Lonchura striata: one gene and its partners. The protein of the gene in region 1 interacts with the protein of each later gene in a biochemical or structural test. Links are inferred from orthologs where the notes say so. Each region holds a gene or a part of one and is shown in the gene's direction. Other genes may lie near its edges. The genes, in order: PTX3, ficolin-2 and CFH.

The links.
Region 2: the proteins of PTX3 (region 1) and ficolin-2 interact in a biophysical measurement, tested with the Homo sapiens proteins (2 studies listed by IntAct, with this or other methods). The link is inferred for Lonchura striata from reciprocal best matches to the Homo sapiens genes PTX3 and FCN2.
Region 3: the proteins of PTX3 (region 1) and CFH form a complex in vitro, tested with the Homo sapiens proteins (3 studies listed by IntAct, with this or other methods). The link is inferred for Lonchura striata from reciprocal best matches to the Homo sapiens genes PTX3 and CFH.

What each region holds. Positions count from the first base shown.
Region 1 is NC_134612.1:26,001,772-26,008,678, reverse strand, and holds the start of PTX3 (pentraxin-related protein PTX3), read left to right. Parts: upstream 1-3,817; coding exon 3,818-3,965; intron 3,966-4,449; coding exon 4,450-4,962; intron 4,963-6,907.
Region 2 is NC_134624.1:6,030,078-6,038,119, reverse strand, and holds the start of ficolin-2, read left to right. Parts: upstream 1-5,031; 5' UTR 5,032-5,062; coding exon 5,063-5,141; intron 5,142-5,955; coding exon 5,956-6,069; intron 6,070-6,798; coding exon 6,799-6,852; intron 6,853-8,042.
Region 3 is NC_134611.1:26,443,096-26,450,495, reverse strand, and holds the start of CFH (complement factor H), read left to right. Parts: upstream 1-4,309; 5' UTR 4,310-4,451; coding exon 4,452-4,512; intron 4,513-7,400. UniProt on the Homo sapiens protein: Glycoprotein that plays an essential role in maintaining a well-balanced immune response by modulating complement activation.

The sequences.
Region 1 (6,907 bases):
GTTGAGTCCTAGGTCAAATTACGTGTAATTTCAATTAACAAAGAGACAAGAGAAGAAAGAAGGAGAGAAATGACAAAGAAACAACAAAACCAACAAAAGACAAAAACTACAATTCTCCTTTGCTGAGATTCAGATTTTCAAATTAAATAAGCATCATATGGAAGGAATAGTTGGTGAACAGAGAACTAAACGTGCATTTGAACAGAAATAGTTAAGCATGCCATTTCCAGGAATAGAAAGGAGCCAGAGAGAGCCAACTGCAGACAGACAGAGATATGCTAAACCCTCTCTCACACATTTTCTTAAGATGTCTGTGCATAATTCAATTTGAAGCCCAGGCTCAAACCAAAATATATAACTTCACATCGCAGTACATGCCTGCCTCAATGGATTTAAGTTTCACTTGAGCAACATATGGAAAACATCTGCCCGTTGCAACCTAGCATGGCTCCTTTTTGTAAACCCTTGGAAGTCCTCACGGCCTCTTTGGATTTGGTTTCCAAGAGGAATCGGATCTCTGCTCTGGCCTGCTGCTTTTCCTCCCATGTACATCTGAGCCCGATAACTTTGGAAGATAAGCAGATCTGATCATGGATGGCAGGAAAAGGATATTTGGGTTCAGACTGGAGCACGTGGGGCTCTTGCCAGATACAGAAAATGCACCCCAGGACACGGCTGGGTCTCACAGCCTCCCCCTGAGCCAAGAAACGAGCACATAACTCAGGGCAGCTTCAGACAGCTCTGAGCCCAGCAGCTCCTAATGAGCCCTGAGGGTCCTTCTCCTTCACAGGAGTGGCTCTCCACTCCAGCCAGCCACACTTCTGCACCTTGTCCTGCTTGGAGAATCCCTGGCTGCTTCCAGGAGGGGATCCCTGCTCTGAGCTCCCCGTGCAGCCCCAGCAGTGCCAAAGGCCAGCTCAGACCCCACTCCCACCCCACCGACACGGCAAATTTATCTTGTTCTGTTCTACACAGTCACAAAGGCCAGGGGCAAAGGAGAGAGATTTGCTGATGAATCACCCTGAAGAGATGAGCAAACTGCTCCACTCTGGCCATTTTCTAACCACGTTCCCTGGGCTCTTCCTGATGTTCCCAGTGGACCTGGACAAAAACGTCACCACTAACGTTCCACGGGATTGATGCCAAGCACCAATTCCCCCAGAGGGAGAACCTGGAGATCAGGAAAGGTTCTTCCCCAGAGGTGCTGGCACTGCCCAGGCTGCCCAGGGAATGGGCACGGCCCCGAGGCTGCCAGAGCTCCAGGACAGCACTGCCAGGGATGCCCAGGGTGGGATTGTTGGGGGGTCTGGGCAGGGCCAGGGGCTGGACTGGAGGATCCTGGGGGTCCCTTCCAGCTCAGGATATTCAAAGATAAAAAGGTGAGAGGATGGATTCACAGGAAATTTTCTAGACTCGCATCATGGTTTGAAATGGAAACATTTTGTACTGAATACACCAAAAATTATTTTCTCTCCGGATGACGTCGTGCTTCCAGCACTAAGTCCTCTCTTTGCACTTGCCCTTGCTTAGCTTGCACTGGGAGTTTTCTGCCCACATGGAGCAGAGCTCTTAAACTTCAGTCAAATTTCAGCAATGATTGCAAAAGATGAAATTCCCATATTCCTGGACAGGCAAATTTCCTCCCAGCTATAGAAGTGTGATGGGAAGGAATCCAAGAGGCAGTAACAAAATTAACAGCTTTAAGCAAGGAAAGACACCAGCCTGAGCCATGTTATTGCCTAAGCTGGGATGTCAGGGATAGGAAGGGATCTGGAAGGGAAGTCTGATTATTCAGTCTGGCAAAGGAGCATTTGGAGTGGGGGGTGTATCAGAGGAGTGATGCAATCACAGATGATGGACTGCAGCCACCAAACCTCTCTAACAAAAAATACTTTGTGCTAGAGCAGCTTTGGGCAGCTTCCTGCAGCAAACACTGCTGGGCTGATATTGCCTAACCAAGATAAATGGAAAGCAAAGGCAATCAGAGCAATCCCCTCCCTCTGCAGTGAGATTAAAGTGACCTCACTGACATGGAATTGCTTTCAAGTGAAGAACCTGTGTGCACACATGTAAATAATCCCAGATATCCCAGTTTGGATCCGTTCTTCAGAGACCTCAAGGAAGGTCAGCAGGCACAACCCACCTGGCCACTTTCTGGTCTTTTCATGTTTGAGGTAGCAAGGGATACTCAGAACTGTTTGTTTGTCACGTCTTTACAGGCTCTGAGGGGATTTATCCACACCCAGCTCCCAGCCCCCTGATTCCCAGAGTTCAGACAGCCAGAGGTGATACTGGGAATTCTGAATAATTCACTTGTTCCCAATCTTGCTTCATCTGCCTCAATCTAAACTAAGAGCCTGCAAATGTTTGTTGTGAGAATGGAAAAACCATCCCACTCAACTCCCTAAATGCTTTCCTTCCCTCTTCCTTCCCTGCCACCCTGACCCCCAGTACTTTCCAGATTAGATTTCCTCACCCTTCCCAAGCAGACCACACGCTGGGAATGACACAACTGCAGCACACAGTGTCCCACAGCTGGGGACACTCCGTGGCTGCACAAGGGGCAGGGAGGGAGCCCAGGGGCGTGGTGGGGTGGTGCCAGCCCTGTACCCCTTCCTGGCAAAGGCTGCCCCGAGCTCCAGCCCTGCCCATCCCAGCAGCACAGAGAGCTGGGGGAGAACAAGGCACCTGGAGCACATTGCAGTGTCCCATGGGCAGAGGGATTCTCACTCCAAAGGGAGCTTCCAAAGACAAAACTCAAACACCAATTTTTCCCTGGGGGTGATCAGGTTTGGCCCATACCTACTGGAAAGTCATGGAATCATTTAGGTTGGAAAGGACCTCCAGGACCAGAGTCCAACCTGTGCCCGATCCCCACCGTGTCCCCACCACCCTCCCAGGGAGGAATTCCTCCCCAGTATCCAAGGCACAGGTTAGTGCAGGTTTGTATAAGCAAAACCAGAGACACAAATGGAAAGGGAACACAGATTCCATGTCAGATGTAATTACAGGAGGGTTTTTTTGCTATTCTCTGGATATTTCATAGCAATACACAATTTGTATGAGATCACCCCTAATCTCACCTAAGAAAAGCATCTCTGACATGATTAATGGCCTCTTGAACCAATAAGATTACAGATCTTAAACCAGATTAATACCATTAAATCTTAGATTAAATTAATCTTTCATCCAAAAGCACCTTTTGCTTTTTCAAAGGTAACAGACACAACTCTGTGCAGCTGCAGTTCCCAAAACAGGATACAGCACTAACAGATTATCCACGGAGTAATGGTGGTGTAACTGCTAATTAGGACTGGAAAAGCAGGACCCTAACAAACCGTTAGAACTCCTTAAGAGCTCTCCTCTATTGCTTAAAGCAATAAACTGTTGGTATGTAATAGAATTTATTATGCAGCAGTGCCAAACTCTCAAAAAAAGTTGCGCTATTTAGCTAAACCGGTGTGTCCAAACCAACTCCAGGTATGTTTATTTTTCTACCAATCCCCTCCAGAGCCCTGGCACACACCGAACTTGCAGGGAACACTTTCTTTTCCACAAACGACGCAAAACAACCCAAAGCGACTCCGCCCGCGCAGCCCGAGCGCTCGCAGCCCCCTGCGATGCTGGCCGGGGCGAGCGCGGCTCTGCCCTTGGCCGCTCAGAGCATCCCCCGGGCAAACCTGGAGGGCTGGGATTGAGCAAGCTGCCCGCCCCCTTCCTCCCCTTCCTCCCTCCCTTCCCCTGGCGGCCAAAAGGCAGGGCAGGAGCGCTCGGCGCTCATTCATTGGGGCTCCGCCGCAGCCCCGGCGCCGGGAGGATGCTGCCCGCAGAGCTCCTCTCCCTGCTCACGCTGCTCTGCGTCTTCAGCGCGGCCGCCTCTGCCGTGGATGAAGACGATGACTACGAGCTCATGTACGTGAACCTGGACAACGAAATCGAAGCTCCAGCCCCTGCGATCGAGGAAGGTGAGTAAACGCAAACTGAATTGAAGTGCAGAACTGCCTTCGGTGCTGCCGAGCTCTTGTAGGAGTTACTACTGCAAACGTAATTTACTTTTTCCAGAGGGAGAAACTCGTGCTCGTAGCAGTGGATTATTGTGGGCAGTAAAGGTAAAGCCCTCGGATGGGGTGCCTTGGGCTGTGCTTTAGGCTCTTGATTTCTCAGTTTTCCTGCAAAAAGCTCCTGCTTTTCAATCGCAGGGGTTTGGGATCTCTGTAATCACACCCCTGCACTGTTCTGTCCCGACACAGAGGGAAAGGCACTGGCCCCAGCATGGCAGGGGGTTGGAACCAGATTGTCTGTAAGGTCCCTTCCAGCCCAAACCAGTCTGAGTCCACGACTCTGTGGCAGTCTGGAGGACACGAGCCTTGCACAGAGCCAGATTTTGCCAAACGCCGCCGTTTAGAACTCGGTACAAAGGCACGGCAACATGTGTACCTTCCCTTCCAGCTGCTTCGTGCGACTGCCAGCGGGAGCACAGCAAGTGGGACAAGCTGTTCATCATGCTGGAGAACTCGCAGATGAAGGAGAACATGATGCTGCAGGCTCTGGATGAGCTCCCCAGGGTGGAGCTGCAGACCCTGAAGGCAGAGCTGAGCCAGCTGGCCACCACCCTGGCGGGCACCTTGGCCACTGTGACCTCGCACGCGGTGTCCCAGGTGGAGCAGGCGCTGGCGAGGGGCAGGGAGCAGGCTGAGGAAGCCAGGAGGCTGCAGGAGTCGGAGCAAGGGAAGGTTCTGGAGCACGTCCTGCAGCTGAGCCACAACGTGTCGGCGAGGCTGGGCTGGCTGGAGAGCGCCTGGCGCAGCAGGGCCCAGGAGCAGGAAACAGCTCTGCAGCAGGACAAGCTGGATGCCAGAGGGGACAGCCTCATCCTGAGCTCGCTGTGGAAGGAGCTGCAGCAGACCCGGGCTGAGCTGAGGGCATCACAGCAATGGGCAGCTCAGCACCTGCTGCCAGCAGGTAAGGCAGGGTGAGAGCTCTGGGGAGGCCACTCCAAATTAACAGGGATCCACACACCCCCTCCTGGGCACCTCCTTCTCCAAAGCAGCCCCAGGAGCAGCAGGGCAGCTTTGAACAAGCTGTGTGTGAAGGGGGGAACCCAAGAACTCATGGAGAAAGAGGCACTGAGCTTTTCAAACGTGGGATCAAAGAAAGGTTTCATCAAAGTCCTCGTGCAGGGCAGAGCCAGCCAGGTTCCCACCTCCTCAAGGCTCTCCCAGATCAAAGCCATTGTCAGAGAGCAGCAAATGTATTTTAGACATCCAGATTATGTTCTGTCACCTTTTGCCTTCCCAGCTGGCGACTCCTGTGCGTTTGCAGCAGTCACAGAGCTCTCTTGTTCTCCTGCACGTTTCCATTCCTTCCTCTTCCTCCATGAGCATCTCCTCACCAGCTCCAGTGTCCAAGAGCTGGACACGCTGCTGCCAGCCAGCCAAGCACACTTCCAGGGCAGGGAAGGCACATTCCCTGCATGCCAGTGGGAATATTCTGCCCTGAAATTCCCACTGGCACAGAGAAATCAGTAACCCGTGCTGCTGTTGTTTGGGGGATTCTTCCCTTTCCAAAACATTTGGGGTGGCTGTAGGAAGGTGGGCTCATACCTCAAATCCCGACTCAGCTTTTCTGTGCAGGGCAAGGAGACACCCAAAAACAGCAGGAGCAGCAGCTTGGGTGTGGCAGAGCAGCCCCTCACTTGTTTAAATGTGGCTGCAGAATCACCACGAAATGGCTCTGCTTTCCACAAATATAAATTATTGCCACCTAAACCCCCCCCAAAATCTACCCCCGCAGGGTGGGTGCGTAGGAAGGAGGGGGTGCAGCATCTCCAGAGGGAACTCTCCCACCAGGGAGCAGAGAGGAGCAGTAATTGCTGCAGCAAAGGCAACAAAAGCCACAAAATTCTTCACATCAAAGCTTTAACAGCCCAACCTGAGCCCATCCCTTCATGCAGGGCAGACTCGGCTTTAGAAGCAAATTGTTTTCACTGCTTTATCACAACACCTCAGAACGCTGGGATGAGGTCTTTGGGCATATTCCTCTTTTCCCCAAACACAAACCTTCAGAGAGCATGATCTCATTCCTTATCTCCCTGCACCCCAGCCAGCCTCAGCAGCTACTCTGCACTAGGTGAGAGCAGCAAACTCGATCTGCATTGAAGATCATCAGTGGAAATTCAGTTTATTTCCACTGGTTCCCACATGATTTTACATAAAACAACCGTACTTGTAAATTTAAAGGCTACATTTTAAGTACTTCCAGAGTATCTCTCTGGATTTTTTTTTTCCAAGGGAATTTTTAGCAACTGACTTTAATTTCTCACATCTTGACTTACTGCCAGCCATACTCTTGAGGGATTTTCTAATCACACTTTTTTGTTCTTCACTGAGGCTGGTTTTAATTTTGTTGAGGCTTTGATAATAGAGCCTGAAAGCCTGGTAATTAAAAGCTTTTTCACAATAGTGCTCCTAAGTAGCATTTTAAGGAGAATCCCCAACAGTTGCTCACTGACCCTGCCCCTCCTCACAAGGGTCAATGGAAGATGTAAAAATCTGCTCAAAGTTGGAGGGAAGCAACCCATGAAATACCACAGCAGCTCAGTCCTGGAGGGCACAAAGAGTCCTTCATTCCCTGGAGCAGAAATTTCCACACACGTTTTAGACATTTCAGATCCTCCAGCTTCTTTAAACAGGAAATGAAGCAGCTTAATTGGAGAAGGGGCTGCTTGTTCCCTCCTGTCACCTTGGATATTAACTTGGGTGCAACCAGGGAACAGCACAGAAACCACCAGAAATGTCTTGGCTTTACTGATCACCAGTTGCTTTCCCAAGCTGCACAAATTTCTGTTTGTGGTTTTAGCTAATCTAATTTCTATCATCAACACTTTGATTAATTGGACATGAGAGAA
Region 2 (8,042 bases), on another chromosome or scaffold:
ACACTTTTATTAGACTATCTTATATGACTGATTCTAACATCTTCCTTTTTTGTTTTTACAAAAATATTTTAACCTTTCAGTCACAAAGCTAAGGGAGATAGCTTGCAAGCAATATCAGTTTGGATAATTATTTGAAATTGTACTGGTACAGCCCTAGTCCTGCAAATGCTTGTTGGAATGCCAACAGAGGATTTGATCATTTTTCCTTTCTCTCCAACAGCATTTTTAATGCAAAGTGAATGTTATGGTCGCACTTCTGTGTTGTTCAAGATTTGCTATTTTAGTCTTTTAAAGGAAACAAAGCTGGGCACCAGTTTGCTTTCAGTGTTTCTGCTCTAGCCATTGCAATTTTTCCTGTTTCCCCAGCCCTCAAGAATTAAAAATGGTTTGTGCAAATAGGAGATAGCCCGGAACATCTTGCAGGGAAATCTTGTACCCTTGTGTGTTCCAATGGCAATGCTCTATCAGCACATGCTCTAAATAATGAACTACCTTATCAAGGGCTCTAAGCCAAATAAGTAGTAACCAAGAAAACAGATAAAGGGCTTGAGAAGGTTGCTGTAGGAATGATGGAGGAGTTTGGGTATAAGGGGAATTAGCAACATTGCAATTAATGTTGGAGACAGAAATGCAAGGAGACAGGAATGGTGCTGGGAAATTTTAGGGGCTTTAAGATGATTTTGGTAGCTGGGGAGAATATTCTGAGGAGAAATTGGAGATGCTAGTAAAAACTACCAGCTGCTGCTTGCAAGTGCCCATTCAGCTACTGCAGGGAGGTTCTAGATGTTCTCATTTCATAGCATTAGGAAACCATACAAAGCCAAGACAAGTATGGCTCCTGTATAGCTGCACTGCCCTGCTGCCAAATGTGGACACGCATTCATCCTATATCCCTACTCAAGTCTTGTACCATTGAACTTAAAGATGATCTCTATGAGACAAGCTAAGTAAGGAGTTTAAATCCTGTAAAATAGAGACAGCTGGTATCTTCAAAAGCCATATTTGCTGAGATAGTTACAATTACCATTTTTTACAGAATGCTGAGTTACTACTTTAGGCTGCAGTTGAACTCGGATAAAGCAGATAGCCTTCCTTTGGACCCAATAGAGTGCACATGGCTTATGGGGTTAATTTTTGTAGCAGACAATTGCTATTTTGTTTTTAGGCCCCTGGCAATCATTCAGAAAATAACCACAGACAAAGTTTTCTCCAGCAAGAGAAATAACTTTATTTTTTATGCTACTTTTAAAGGAAAAAGCCAGGTGTTCCAGATGGAAAGCATATGGTCTCTAGTAGGAAACAGTATGTGTTGCTATCATGCTGGCATGGTAGTGTGGAGGAAGGGTTTTAGAAAGGCCTTGGGAATGGGAAACTGAGGAAAAGATACATTTCTGTATGCCCCATTGTTTCAGGAAAGTTTCACTTCAGCATTTTTCTGTAATCCCCTTCTCCCCACCCCTGAGCAGCTCCCATTGGGCCTGACCCCTGGGGTGGTTCTGATGTGTCTAAGCTGGACACTGTCTCTATTGTTTAGACCTTATTTCTTAATTTTGCTGTATAAAACTGTATATGGGCAGTAGCCCAGGGTCTTTGGTCCTTGCCACTGTTCAGGCAATACAATCTCTCTGGACAGCATACCACTGGCCTCTCTTTGTCTCTTTATCTCGACTCCTAGCAGCGACCGAGGCAATGCCGGTGCTCGGACCGTGCTAACCCAGCCGCTGCCTGGTGAGCCCAGGGCAGCGGGACCGTGGCAAACTCTGGTCCCCAGAGGGGACAGCTAGCTGGAGGGTCCCGGGGGGCCGGGGAGGGATGGGGGACAGCAGCAAGTGACCCCCAAAAGCCGCAGTATGTAGTTTGTTGTACAGGATCACAAACTGGACTTTTGAGCCTGGAGCAAATGCAAGTTATGTCTTACTGATGCTCCCAAACTCTGACAACAGACGTTTCACTGCTGTTCCTCTACCTAGCTGCAGCTTCTAGACAGCACTTCTGTGGTGAGTGGTCTTGTATCATGTTACTAAGGGATGCTGCCATACACTTGTTTAGACTATCTAGGTAGGATTAGTGCCTCTTTTTTTTAATGGATTTTTTTGTTTGTTTTGTTTTTTGTTGTTGTTGTTGTTTTTTTACTGCTGTAGACTACTTCTTTTGGCCATTTCTGAGTTCTGTAGTAGAACCAGAGAGCTGGAGACTGTCTGTTTAGGTTTGTGTTTCCATCACCAGTCTCCAGAGTGAGGACTTCAGCAGGGTGGTTGCTAAACAACAGCTTCCATAACAGAAAGTAGAGGAAAAACAAAACCTTTTTCTAAAACATTACTGCATGCACCAAACATTGTCTTCAGTGTATTTCTCTCCAAAATCTAGAGGAGGTATGTCTTGCAGTTATCCTGGAAGTGAATGATTGCAGAATTTACACCAATGTAAAACAAATTAATTATAGTGAGCAGTTCTAGAAAAGGTTTGATTTTCTGTTTCCTGGGAAGTCACTTATTCCTGAAGGATCAGTATGTCTTTCTCTAGAGCAGCAGTGAGCCATGCTGTAATATAAAGTAGCCTCTACTTTTCTAGATGGTGAAGGAGACATTTAAACACTATGTAACATTTTCTAAAGTCTCTTGTATTTAATTTTGGAATAATTTTGGATTTTGTCTTGGAATTACTATAACTGAAATGCATAGAAAACTTCGCCCAATGAGCTCAGAACATTCTTGTAGTGGATGAGGCCTGGGTGATGGGTGAGTAGGCTTAGAAAAGAAGCTGAAAGTTACCTTATTTTGAGCTATCTTCTCTACCTTGAAGCATCTGGGAAACTGAATTTTAATAATTTGTATTTTGAAATGTATGTGTTCTGAAGTTTCCTGCAAAATAGCAACACTGAGGAAAAAAATTAAAATGTTTTCAAAATAGAAGATCATCTTTTCAAAATCATGTTTGTTATTTGGTAGTGTTGCAAAATGTGGAATATGTCAAGATTATCTGAAGTCAGGATGTTCTTTGATGTAAGATCTTTGTATACTTTCAAGCCCTCTGCAACCTTCACATGACAAAAAGCAATTAAGGACATATCGATCTCTGTGCCAATTTCAAAATATACCCTGGGGAGTCTGACCTACTTTGGACTAAGCTTGTTCATTGGCAGTTTCCTCCCTGCTTCCAAAAGTAGTTGCATCAACAAGGACACTGCTTCTTTCCCAGGTGAAAATGGGGAGACATTAATGTCTACCAGGCTGGATGGAGCCCACAGCTGGTAACACTTAGGGGGATGCATTAGTTCTGGGCAGATATATCACAGCTGCCTTCATAACATACATTCTCAGCCCAACCCAGAGATGGAACCTGCTAATGGAGAACCTGGAAAAACCCAGGCAGACCTTTTTTATTTATTTTTAGATTTGTCTGGACAGATCTAGCCTGGAGTCCTAGAGAGACTGTAACTATGGGGTAATCTGCAAGGCCTTTGCTTTTTGGAGTAATTTACAAAAGGGAAACAGATGAAAGCAGCAGCTTTTGCCTCCAGTTGAAACAAGGTATTGCAGCTGTTTCCACAAAGAGAGCAGAGGCACTGGGGCAGGAGAAGGCTTCTCAGTGCAGGGGACTGGCTCTACATTACCTCCATCTGCCCCATAGTCCAGACATCAGTCTATTGCAGATGGACAGCACAGGCTGTACAGATGAGAAAAGAGGTGTACAGTTCACAGTCACCCTAGATCTGTCTTGCATGGATCTCTCCCTCCCTAGCACCTGCCAATCCTTTTTCTCTTTCCTTCTGGGAGGCTTCCTCCTGAAGGAAGAAAGGATCTGATCTCATTTTGTCCCAAGAACTGCAGCACAGCAGTTGCCACAAGTGAGATGCTTTTTCTCATGTAAAGCAAAACCCAAACTATAATGCAGCCCATCTTGTCACAATTCCTCTGATTATTCTGCAATTTTTCCATACAGGAGAAGGAAAGTACATTTCCCTGCCAGAATTGTTTCTTAGGAATTAAAATAACTGCAACATCTACTGGGTTATTATTTTATATTATTACATATATAAATAAGAACATGTGTATAAGTGTATATCTGGGTTATATGGGAGATGCTGAATTTAAGTGGCAATCAAATACTTACCTCTCCCTAACCTTCTTCCATTTGCTTAACATTAAACTGTCATGTATCATTGGCACTTGGGCTGTTAGAGGCACGTTATGATAGAAGTGCTTGAGGGGGAGCTGTGTTCTGCATCTGATATCCCGGGAAAAAAAATCTCCAATAAATCAGTCTCCTCTGAACTGGGATGTAACAATAAGGAGGAAAAATGTAAGTTTTTCCCTCTACTAAAATTCATAAACTTTACAGGTTCTGGGTCTGAAAATAATAGGAGGAAGCAGACTGGACCTCTAATAACCTGGCAGAAATGAGCAAAGCACGGGGTGAAAGAAACCAGAAATCCTGCTCACTAGTACAATGAACAGTTGAGGGGGGGGGGAATCAAACATGCTCTGTCTACCCACCCTTGCCTGAGTTTGAACTCTGTCATTCATGAATCATGCATGCAAAGTGGTGCTGGGCTGCCAGGCAGGAAGAGCGCTGGAATGTGAGCCAGGCTCTCAGGAATGTGTAGCCTCTCTCTGCCACTGGCCTCAGCTGACCTTGGGCTTTAGACTCCCTGTGCCTCAGTTTCCCCATCTACACAGTAAGTTCTGCTCTTCCTAAAGGGCTACTAGCAGGGAGGATGAGAGGAGCTGTCTACACTTAGGTAAATATGGCTTTGCTGGTTTATTTTCTCTAGAAATACAATATGAGAAGGAAAAGGCATCCAAAATTTGCAGAGGACAAAGGTGAGGCAGGCTGGGGCAGCCAGGCAAGAACTTTCCCATCAGACTTTTGGAAAGCAGCTTATCTGCAAAACAGCTTGAGACTCAGCCAAGCCCCAGACCTGAGAGCAGCCAGTGGGCAAGTACAGAGGTGGAGCTTGCACTGAGGCTGTCTGCTAGATATAAAATGCTTGGATGGGTCAGTGCTGACCACAGCTCCCAGGAAGTGGCTGAGGGGAGCTGTGCAGAGAGCAGCGCTAGCAATGGAGACAGCAATCCCAGCTCTTTTGGTACTACTCAGCCTAAGAGTGACTATTTGTGATACTGAGGACACCTGCTCAGGTGAGTAAAGCACAAATCTTACTGCTATCTCACTGAGACAGCCTGTTTCATCCCCCCTGATAAGAGAAGGAGGTTGCAAAGGGAGGGGGAGAAGTAGCATATGATTTTTTTTTCTTCTTTGCTTTTTTAAATTCAGCTGCCAGTGGGAGGAGAGTACTGGGGAGGCTGAAGTCTCAGCAGCTGCTTAAGAAAGCTACTGTCTCCAACTAGTGATGTAACACTGTTCCCTCACCAGTGGGGTCTCTAGGAACAGACAGTCTCTGGTGAGGTTCCCCGCGCCCCCCGCCCCCCCTGCCCTCCCCCGTTTGGGGTTTTTTTTTTAGTAGGGCCTCAGTGCAGTTACCAAAGGATACAGAGCAATATAAAAGATCAGTCTGGGGATGCTGTGCAGCACAGCATTCTGACTGTATTCCCCAGGAAGGCCTGGGGCAATTTCAAACAGACCTGCCATCAGGAAATTCAGAAGAAGTCTTACCCTTACTGTCCAGAGATCCATCACTTACTCTGCTATCAATACCCCATTGGGGCACCTCTTAGCTTATGTTTTATTAATTATAGTATATTTATCATGCATGCAATGTCATATATATCAGCCTCCTCTCACACTGAACTCCCCTGAAGCCAGAGAGATGCAGAGTCTGGCTTCTCTAATATGTGAGATCCTCAATGCCATCTGTCAATCCATACAACACCTCAAAACTTCCATACTTGTTGCTTTTGATTACACTGTTCCTCAACTTCAAAGGATTTGGTTTCCTCTCCAAGACATTTCAGAACCTTAATAATCTTCACAAAAACTGTCTTAATTTCTCAGAGGTGAGAATAGTGGGACTGGGTGATGCTGACCGACTTGCCATTCTTCAAGGATGTCCAGGGATCCCAGGTGTCTCTGGCCCAAAAGGAGAAGCAGGTCTCCCAGGAACAAAAGGTAAGGCCCCTAAAGCCAGTGATGAGCACCCTGAGATGAGATGGTTTTGTTGCTTTGGATAGGGGAAGCAAGCTGAGTCTGGAGCAGTAGCTGGCCTGGCACTGGCTGCTGTGAGGAACTGGAGAATTGAAGTGGAAACCACCCCAATTAGATATATGCTGGTACACATAGAGTGACCTGTTTCTTCCTTGAGTCCTGTCCTGTCAATCTGATGTGATCTTGGGGTGTGAAGTGTCTCATTTGTTTCTTCTGCAGAAAATAATCCATTTATTTTTTGGGGCTGTATCCAACAATCTGGGTGGGAGGGAGGCTGAGATGCTCCTGCCTTTTTCTGGGGGAACAGTGTGGGAAATATACTGGCAACCCCTGTTCTGGGGAGCAAGGGAGATGGGGGTCCTTCCGAGTTTTCATAGCCAATGCACAGAGAAGGTGAATCACATCAACTGAGCGAGATGATCCACCACAGTAAAATCCATGGACTGGCTCCACAATGTAACAAAGCTCCTAAGAATTCTAAACTGCAAATTTAGACTTTGAATGGCAGTACCAGAGTAGTAAGGCTTCAATAGAAAAAAAGGACTAAGGTAAAAGTACAGTAAAATAGGTTACAAGATTGAATCTGATTACCTCAGCTCCCATGTTTCAGTGAAAGCCAAGGCCCAGTTGCCCAGGTGACTCCCTGCTTTGGTTAGTTTGTAACATACCCATAAAAAATGAGTCTCTTTGCAGGAGAAATGGGAGACCAGGGATTCCCCGGGAAAGCAGGACCACCTGGTGCAAAAGGTAATGTGAAACATATGCAGCTCTAATCTGTAAATGCCCCCAAGCTCGGGACATGTACTGTGAGACTGGGTCTACAGAGATGAACTGCAGGACTGTTCATAGGCTAAGAAATAGTGCTGAAGTAGAATAGGAAAAGCCTGATTTGGGGTATGGCTCTTGCATGGAGTGAATACTAGAAACAGTATCCTTGAGTGTCTGGGACCACAACACAGAAGAAGATAACACTCTTCTTGAAATTTCTCACTGACCCTAAAATCAGACTTCTCCTCATTTTCCACTCCTACCCTAACCTGCCTCCAGCATAACAAGCCTGCCCAAATGCCCCCTAGCTCTGAGGAGCTTTGGAGCTCTCTATGGATCTTCAGCCCAGAGGCCTGATGCAGAGGCACTATGCTGAGTGCTTGTTCTGCCAATTGCCAGGGGCAATTTAAAGAACATACCAATGGAAAGAATGATCTTATTTTACTATGAATATAAAGGCAACAGAGTAAAATAATAAATTCAATAAAACTACATGCTCGGCTTTGGCAACAAGCAAAAATTAGCAAGGTAATGCACATAATCATTACTATACGAGAGACAGGATAGTCATTTAGAAGGATACATCACCAATTGCCTAAATACTTTAAAATCATCCAGTCACTGGGGAGCCCTGTTTCACAGAGAGGACCTGGACAACCCTTCCGGGCAATTGGGAAAATCCTACATGGTGTATCCATAGGTGTGGTCTCCAGATTTGCCCTGAAAGAGAGTCCAGTGTTTATAGGCCCAAATCAGCTAGTCAAAATGACTTGATTTTATTTTTAGCTCAGGAATGCCTGCGTCTGATGGCATGCTTCCTGCTTAGCCAGGACCAGTGCTCAGAGCCCAGGTCTTGGCTGGGAGGGTTTTCCCCTAAAATACCTTACAAACAAGCCTCTCAGTTGGAAAAGCTTCTTAAAATGATACATTTCTGGCAGACAACTACACAAGGTTATAAACAGCTAGCATAAGCATCTTTGTCATCTATCTTTTAGGTAAATAATACTGATGGTGTTAGTCACACAATATTCATGATCCATCTTGTAAGTCTACTCTGGCTTAGGCCTGCTGCTCAGGCCTAGGCACATCATTGCTTTCAGCAGCCTCCAGCCTTCAACTCAGTGTGCAGTGCCCACTTGACCAGAACGGGATCAAACAATGGCACAGGA
Region 3 (7,400 bases), on another chromosome or scaffold:
GGGAAAAAAATGTTCTTGGAGTCCTCCTATCTTTCCACTTGATGCCTGTTTTTTTTAAATGGCTGTGCAGTAGCAAACTGTTCTGCTGGCATGAAAGGTTTGATAGTGATTCAGTAACAGTAACAGACTGAAATAGCCCAAAGTGAGAACAGAGTTTTAAGGTCACTGTAAAGTTCCAAAGCTGGGGCAGAAAATAAAATGAAGAATTTCAAATTTGATAATTCCACTGAAAGCATTAAAAAAAAAAAAAAAAAAAAAAAGTGGTTTCATATATCTAATTAAACTGCAGTGGTAGTTGGTAGAAGGTGTGTTTTCCACAGCACAGTGAGCAGGACTCTGCACTGCAAACATGATCTTTAGAGTTGTTAGAGACACAGGGTATCCAATCTGACCTGATCCTTTTATTCTTCTGTGCTAAACCATCAGAGAGCAGATCTGAAAGGAGCAGTGCACACATCAGGGCCACCTGGGCCTGGTGCACCCCGGCCCTCTGGTGTCTGTGGTGACCTGAAAAGAGCTGTAGGAACAAGAGAGCAGCAGCACTGCGTCATGGGAGAGCAAGCTGCTGGGAAATGCTGATAACCTGGGAATTGCCTTCCAGTACATCTTCACTTGCTGCGAGTAGGAGGACTTACTTCATTTACAAGTAGGGTTACTGACAGCTGCTTTTATATAGGAGGAGAACATCTTTTTTTTGCAAAGAACACCTTTTCAAGTTATTTTCACTTCACTTTTGAGTATAGAGCACCAAGGCAGGAGAATGAGGTGATACTTAAACACAAGTAATCAGAAGTGGGTTTATATTACTTTTAGAATTGGACATGATAGATCTACTGTCTAAGCACGTGCTGTTATCTAATTTACTTTAGAAGAAGCAGAAGGAATATTCCTAAACAATTCTTAATATTGTGTTTTGGTTTTCAAGGGTGCTCCCATGACCCGTTCTTGATGAAATGGCCTGAAGAGCATCAGCTGTTAAGACAGGAACACAAGTTCAAGCATCCAAAAGTGTCTGAGAGTGCCTGTGCCACAGCTGATCCTGTTAAAGGGGATGATGAACCACTAGGAAGTTAGCAGGTGAGTTCTGAAAAAGGGAAGGACCATCTTGCAAATAATTGTATGGGATAAATGAAATTGTAACAGGAGGGAAAACAGTGGGAATGGAGCAAGTGGTCAAAACGAGAAGAGGTGGGTTTGACACTGTTGTACATTCAGCCTCTGGCATCAAAAACTCTGTGTGGACATTCCAGCAGCCTTCATCCAACTCCCGCAATGATTGGGCAGGTGGGACAGGCAGGGACTCGAAGCTGGGGTGTGGTGTTTCCTCCCTGCTGTGTGCATTAGCAGGTGTTAAGGAGCAGTAAAGTACAAAATAAGTACCCACATCTACTACAGGAGTACCTGTTAGAGGGAAACTGTGAGTATAGCTGTGGGTGGGTGGGTGCACAGCTTTGTGTGCATGATTAGAGCTTTGGGGGATTAGTGAACAATGGTTCTTTATTTGTTAGGTGTTGATTAACATTTTGTTTAACAGTGTATTGGCCATACTGAATCTGAAACTATATTCCAGCGATTGCCAGTTAATTGTATTCTATTAATAAATCAATAAACCAGTTTGATTATGATTTGTTTTAAATTAAATCAAGTGAGAATTTTTTCCCTGTCACACCCTTAGGTTGTGATTGTAGCAGTTAAGTGATGTTTTAATGTAATCATGAGTCACAGAAGTTGTACCAGTGGGAGGAGAGACAAATGTTGAGGTTGCAAAGACAACCTCACTATTAATACAGTGGGATAAGACATTTTCATGACAATTGTTGGGCAAAGCAGTGGCTGATTCTTCTGTGTGCTCTAATGAGGTCATTAAACTCAAGTGTGACAGCAAGCATGCTGTTAGAACATGCTGAAATTATACTGGCCAGAGATGCTATTTCAGCTGTGGCTAACTAAGCTCCTATTGCCACTTAACATTAGTCCCCTGCAGAATACATTGGCTTCCTGAGATCTCTGTTCCTAACACAAAATGGCTTCCAAACACTGGTCTCAAAATTATTCTGGCTTGGACAAACACTCTGAACTTTGATGTTAAGCCTCCATGTTGAGTAAGGAACTAATAAAAACCTTATTCTGACCTCACACTGACTTTGCCTTGTGGAGGAGTTTTGGGCAAGATAACTTCCAGCCTGTACTTTCCTATGATCACACACCTTGACATGCAGTTTTGCTCACACAGGGAATGTGCTGTGATATTGTGGCTGTCTGGCTGTGTCCACAGCAGTATTTTGAGTGCAGTCACACCAGTTCTCAAAACAGGAGCTCTGCTTCCTTAGATGAAATCCAGCTGCTCTTAGTTGCATAACTACTTTGACGTTTCTGCCTTTCTCATGAGTAGGAGGTAAACTCTAAAGATGAGGGTTTTTCTCCTTGCCTTAGAAGTCCTGAGGCATGGTTTGTCTCTGCGCTCTGTTTTGGTAGAGACTGGAGGTGGCTAAACCGAGTGAGACCCAATTAAAGACAATCAATTTTGAACTGATAGCCCGTGGATGAGGTGAGGAAGGAAAGAAAGTTTAAGCTTCTGATTCTATTTCCATTTGCCTAGGGTAAGTTTAATAAATTACCTAAGAAGATCACAAACCCAGGACTGGAAATGACCGAGTCTGGTCTCTTGCTTTGTGATTGAAGATGATTTTTTTGTATAGGCCTATGTTATGTGTATACAAATATTGCTTCAAAGCTTTACCAGCTGAGTCTTCTAATTCTCAGTTTAAATTTGTTCATAGACATTTTATATCTGTTTTTGCATGCTTATCTTTTAGCTTAAATAGTTTTAGCAATGTCTGTATTTATAGACAGCAGTCAGGAAATTTGTGATACCCCTTCCAGTTGTGGTTTAGCTGTACCTGAAAGTATCTTTGACTGTATTCAAGTCCATAATTATTTGACATGTGGATTAATAACGCAAAAGCAGTTTGAGCTTCATCACATCAGACTATTTAATACTTAAAACTGGAGAAATTGCAATTTTGACAGGTGCATGAAATATCCATTTACTGATAAGGTGTGCACCAGTAACTGCAAACTGGATGCAGATCGATCATCACAGGGTCATGGAGCACGGTGAGAATTCATTCTCCACAGGAGTCATTTGTCAAGGGGAAGGGAAAGGAAGAGACATTTTGCTCTCTGAAGTCATTGCTGTAGGAGAAACAGCTGAATGCCAGTTTTACTAAGACCGTTATTTAGAACTGGTGACTGAAAACACAGCCCAAAGTTTAAAAAAAAAATTCCACCTGCATTTTAAGAAGAGAAAAAGTTTTAACTGCTGTAAATGCTGTGGAATTGCATTTAAGATTGGTTTGATTTGAGATCTGTTCTGTAGACACTCATTTTTATCCTATAGCAGCACACAAACTAAGCTAGTGATTTTTAAGGATATGTTGTGTGGATTTTTGGGAACATATACGAGATGGATCTGTGTGTACTCCATCTAGTCAGACACCACTGTGGAGCATCTGGCCTGTATCTGTTTTATGTCCATCTCCTGTGAGCACTTTGTACTGTTACATTTTTTTTTTTCTCCCTAATTCTCAGTCTCAAGCAATCCTCTTCATATAATCTACATTTTCACCAGAGAGCACTTGTGAAGCCAAAACATTTTATGAAACTATTGATAAGACTGTTGCTTACACAGACCCATGGGAAGTTCCTTTGTTAGGCATATATATATATGTTCCTTTTTGCATAGTTTTATATTTTTCTTTGGAAGGTTCATTATCTTTGTTACAATCCATTCAGATCTTCCATCTTATCATTTCTCATGTGATACTAAAGTGCTTCAACATCACCTGGGTTTATTTAATGAGAAATATGACCAAATACATTTCCTTTGCTGTGGGTAGTTGGTGATCTTCTATAAGAAACAGTGAGTAACCCCTTAGTCACTCTGTAGTTTTGCCTTTTTGTTTTGATTGCTTGCAACGTATATTTTGAATTATATGTGTAGAGAAGTTCATTTTTGCACACAATTAACATGAATTTGTTTCCTAACTAAGCATATAACACACAAGGAAATGCAAAATAATTTATTTGTACAGCTTTTAGATATCAAAAGACATAACCTTCTGTGATCATGGAAGGGATAAATATGGGGGGGAAAAAAAGGGTGATGTAGAAAGGAGCAGACCACAGGGAAAGGAATGTGTCAACCTAAATTGCCAGGCATTTGTTTATTTATTCATTTAGCAAGGTTTAGAGAGGGGGTTTAAAAAAAAAGAAACACTTGTGTGTTGCAAGAGGTTTAGGGGAAGTGACTACTGAAATCAGAGTATAAATGTTTTGCAAGGTCAGTCCATGGACTAGTTAAGTAAAAAAGCAGTGGAAATAACACAAAGTAGTGGGAAAAAAGTAGGCTACAACACTGGATGTGTTTGCTGAGTTTTTGAATCTCTAGAATGTTGTTCCTGGGCTATGCAGCTCTGCTCTTGTGTTGGATGCATTGTGCTGCAGAAAGAGGTAAGATTTAACTCCTCTCTTAGAGTGTATATGAAGGTGGCAACTAAAGCAATATGCAAAGGCATTGTAGGGTTTTTCATGAACCTCTGACAATAATTGACATTTCTTCTGGCAGCATTTAGCACCTTTAGTATTTAGTGTCCTGTCATAGGATTACTTTCACCTATTTATTTTGCTGTTGTTAATCTCTTGCCCAACTTTTCAAATGCTTTATATCACTATAAACTGGAGGCAGACAACTAATTTTCTATTAATTACATTTGCTAATTATTCTAATATCTAAAACCAGGAAGCAGTTGGTAGATTAAAATAGAAATGTACATTTATGGAATGTATTGTTTCTGTCTGAAACAACGTGTAAGGTGATCTGAGGAAGATGAGTGATTACTACATTGACTGAAAATCTTCTAATATATCTATTGACTGACTGGTTTTAGTCTAGGAAAGGAGATAAATATATACAGGTATGCTTTTTTCATGTTTAAAGAGGTAGCTACATATCTTTTCAGAAACTGCTGATGTTTCTGTTTCTCTGTTCCATGTATTTTTCTCGGTTTGTGTTTATATCATTTAATATATCCTTCGTTATTTAATTTGTTTGCTTTATGTCTGAGTTTCTTGGCATAGAGTGTTATGCAGAGGGTGCTGTGTGGTTTTGAGCTAGTATGTCTCTGCTTGGTTCAGGATGGTTTTAATTTTAGTTAAAAGTTATGAAGACCTTATTAATCAAAAAGATCCAATGGATTTTACTTTGAAAAACTGAAAAATCAGGAAATTAAAGTAATCTCCTATCTTAAATATAAATAAATATTGCCTCAAAGCAACTAATAGTCTATTTTGTTTGCAAAGAAGTGCAGAAAAGTCCTGGAATTTGAAACTAAAGTTTGCCTGAATTTGCACTTTGTTTTCACAGTGCTTTCTTTAGGTCAGGGAGATTGGAAAGAAATGTGAATTCAGCAAAATTTGATTTATCCAGGATAACTATTACCATGGGTCAGGCAGCATTCTTGTTTAAGCTTCATGCTGAAAGTCTGTGAGAGTTGTGGAAAGTCTTCCGAGTGCTGGGTTTTGCACAAGGACTGAAAGCCACTTGCACCTGGATTTGTAATTGTGCTTGTACTTTTTAGAACCTGCTACCAGCATATTGTTGCCAAAAAAGCAGCTTGAGCTATTTCTAACTGAGGTCAAGTCAAATGTAAATACTGAATGAGTAATTCTAGCTCTCCTGGTCTGTCAGTAAGGAATTTGAAGGTATCCATTCTGTGCATGCTTTTTAATATAGAAATAAAACCCTCAGGTATTGGTGGGTACATGATGGAATTAATATAGTTTTGATGGACAACCTGTCAGCTGATCTCTTCACCTCAAGCCACTAAGAAACTGCATACACACATACATACACATATATATACACATACATATACTCTTGACACTTGATGGTAACACATAGTTTAACATCAGGGCAGGAGTGGGGAAGAGTTGAGATAAAACCCAGTGAGACCCAGCAAATCTTAGTAATGGTGAAGAGACTAAAGAGATGATCTTTCATCAGAAGGGGAGTGTAAGGTAAGCAAGAAAGAGTTAAGAGGGTGCATGCTGCACAACAATAAAAATATGATACAATTCAGAGGGAGGAATAGAGAAGCTGTCACTATACTCAATAACCTATTTTTTAAATTAGAGACTTCAGTGTGCGCTCTCAGCTTGCAAACTGAAAGTGCTAATTCAAACAAGATATAATTAGAAATATGTGGAATTATAAACATTCTTTTTCTTGCCATTGAAAATAACTTTTTGGGTAAACTAACAATTTTTAACATATTTGAAAGAACCAGCTAGAGGATTCCTGTTCATTTTGCTTATTCCTACATTTTGCAAAAAATGTTGTTAGAATTTGAATCTGTATTTTTTTTTTTTTTTTTTTGCTAAAAAAGCCTCTCCCGCAGTTTCTGGAGTAGCCTAGTACCCTCTAGTGCACAGAAACATAATTTTTATTCAGATGCAATCATTCATAGGAGGGAGAATACTTATCAAAGTAATTGGAAAAAATGGGTGTGAGCACACTCTTCCTTTAGCACATCAGCAGTATTGTTAAAGCTTGTCTAATTCTTTTGGCTACTTAAAACAGCCAAACTAAAGTTATCAAAGCTCAAAATTGACATAACTTTCAAATTATACAGTTTCAAATAATGTGGTTTTGTTTCTTTGCAACAAATCTTTTTTTTTTCCATTTTTAAAACCATTTTATAAAATTATGCCTCTAATTTGGTCAGTACTCCCCTGACTGAAATACAACAAGTGAGTTCTCAAGGATGTGTCTTTGTAAACTCAAGTAAAACTCACTTTCCACACCTTGGGATTGCTAACACAAAGTGAGCAGATAAAATACACCTTCTTCCACAGCAGCTACTTAATATGTGGTGCCATCTCTGCAGTGCAATTCAGTGAGCTTTAACTCCACATCCCTCACATGAGGAAAGATCCCAAAGATTTGTCCCATAGTCCTATTTCCAGGCAGCATCTGGACAACCTGTAGGAAGATTTCAGTGAGAATGCTGCTCTTTTCTCAAACCCACGGCCTTACAGTTAAGTGGGGAGAGGACATCTGTGCCAGGTCTCTGCTGAATAACGTATCTACTCACCACAGGATTTCTTTCTCTGGTGGGCATTTTTTCTCCTGTTTACTTTCTATACAGAGAGTTCATTCCTTTCCCAAGGCTTTATTACCTCAGGGCTTGTTTTATTTATTCCTGATGAATGCTCACCTTTCATGTTCAGATGGAAAACAGAGTTGATTGCATTTAGTTAGCTAGGCTGTTCAGACTCTGTTACTCTGTTCAGCTTCCAAAATGTGTATATTTCAGCAACCTAAGCACTGAAAATTAGTC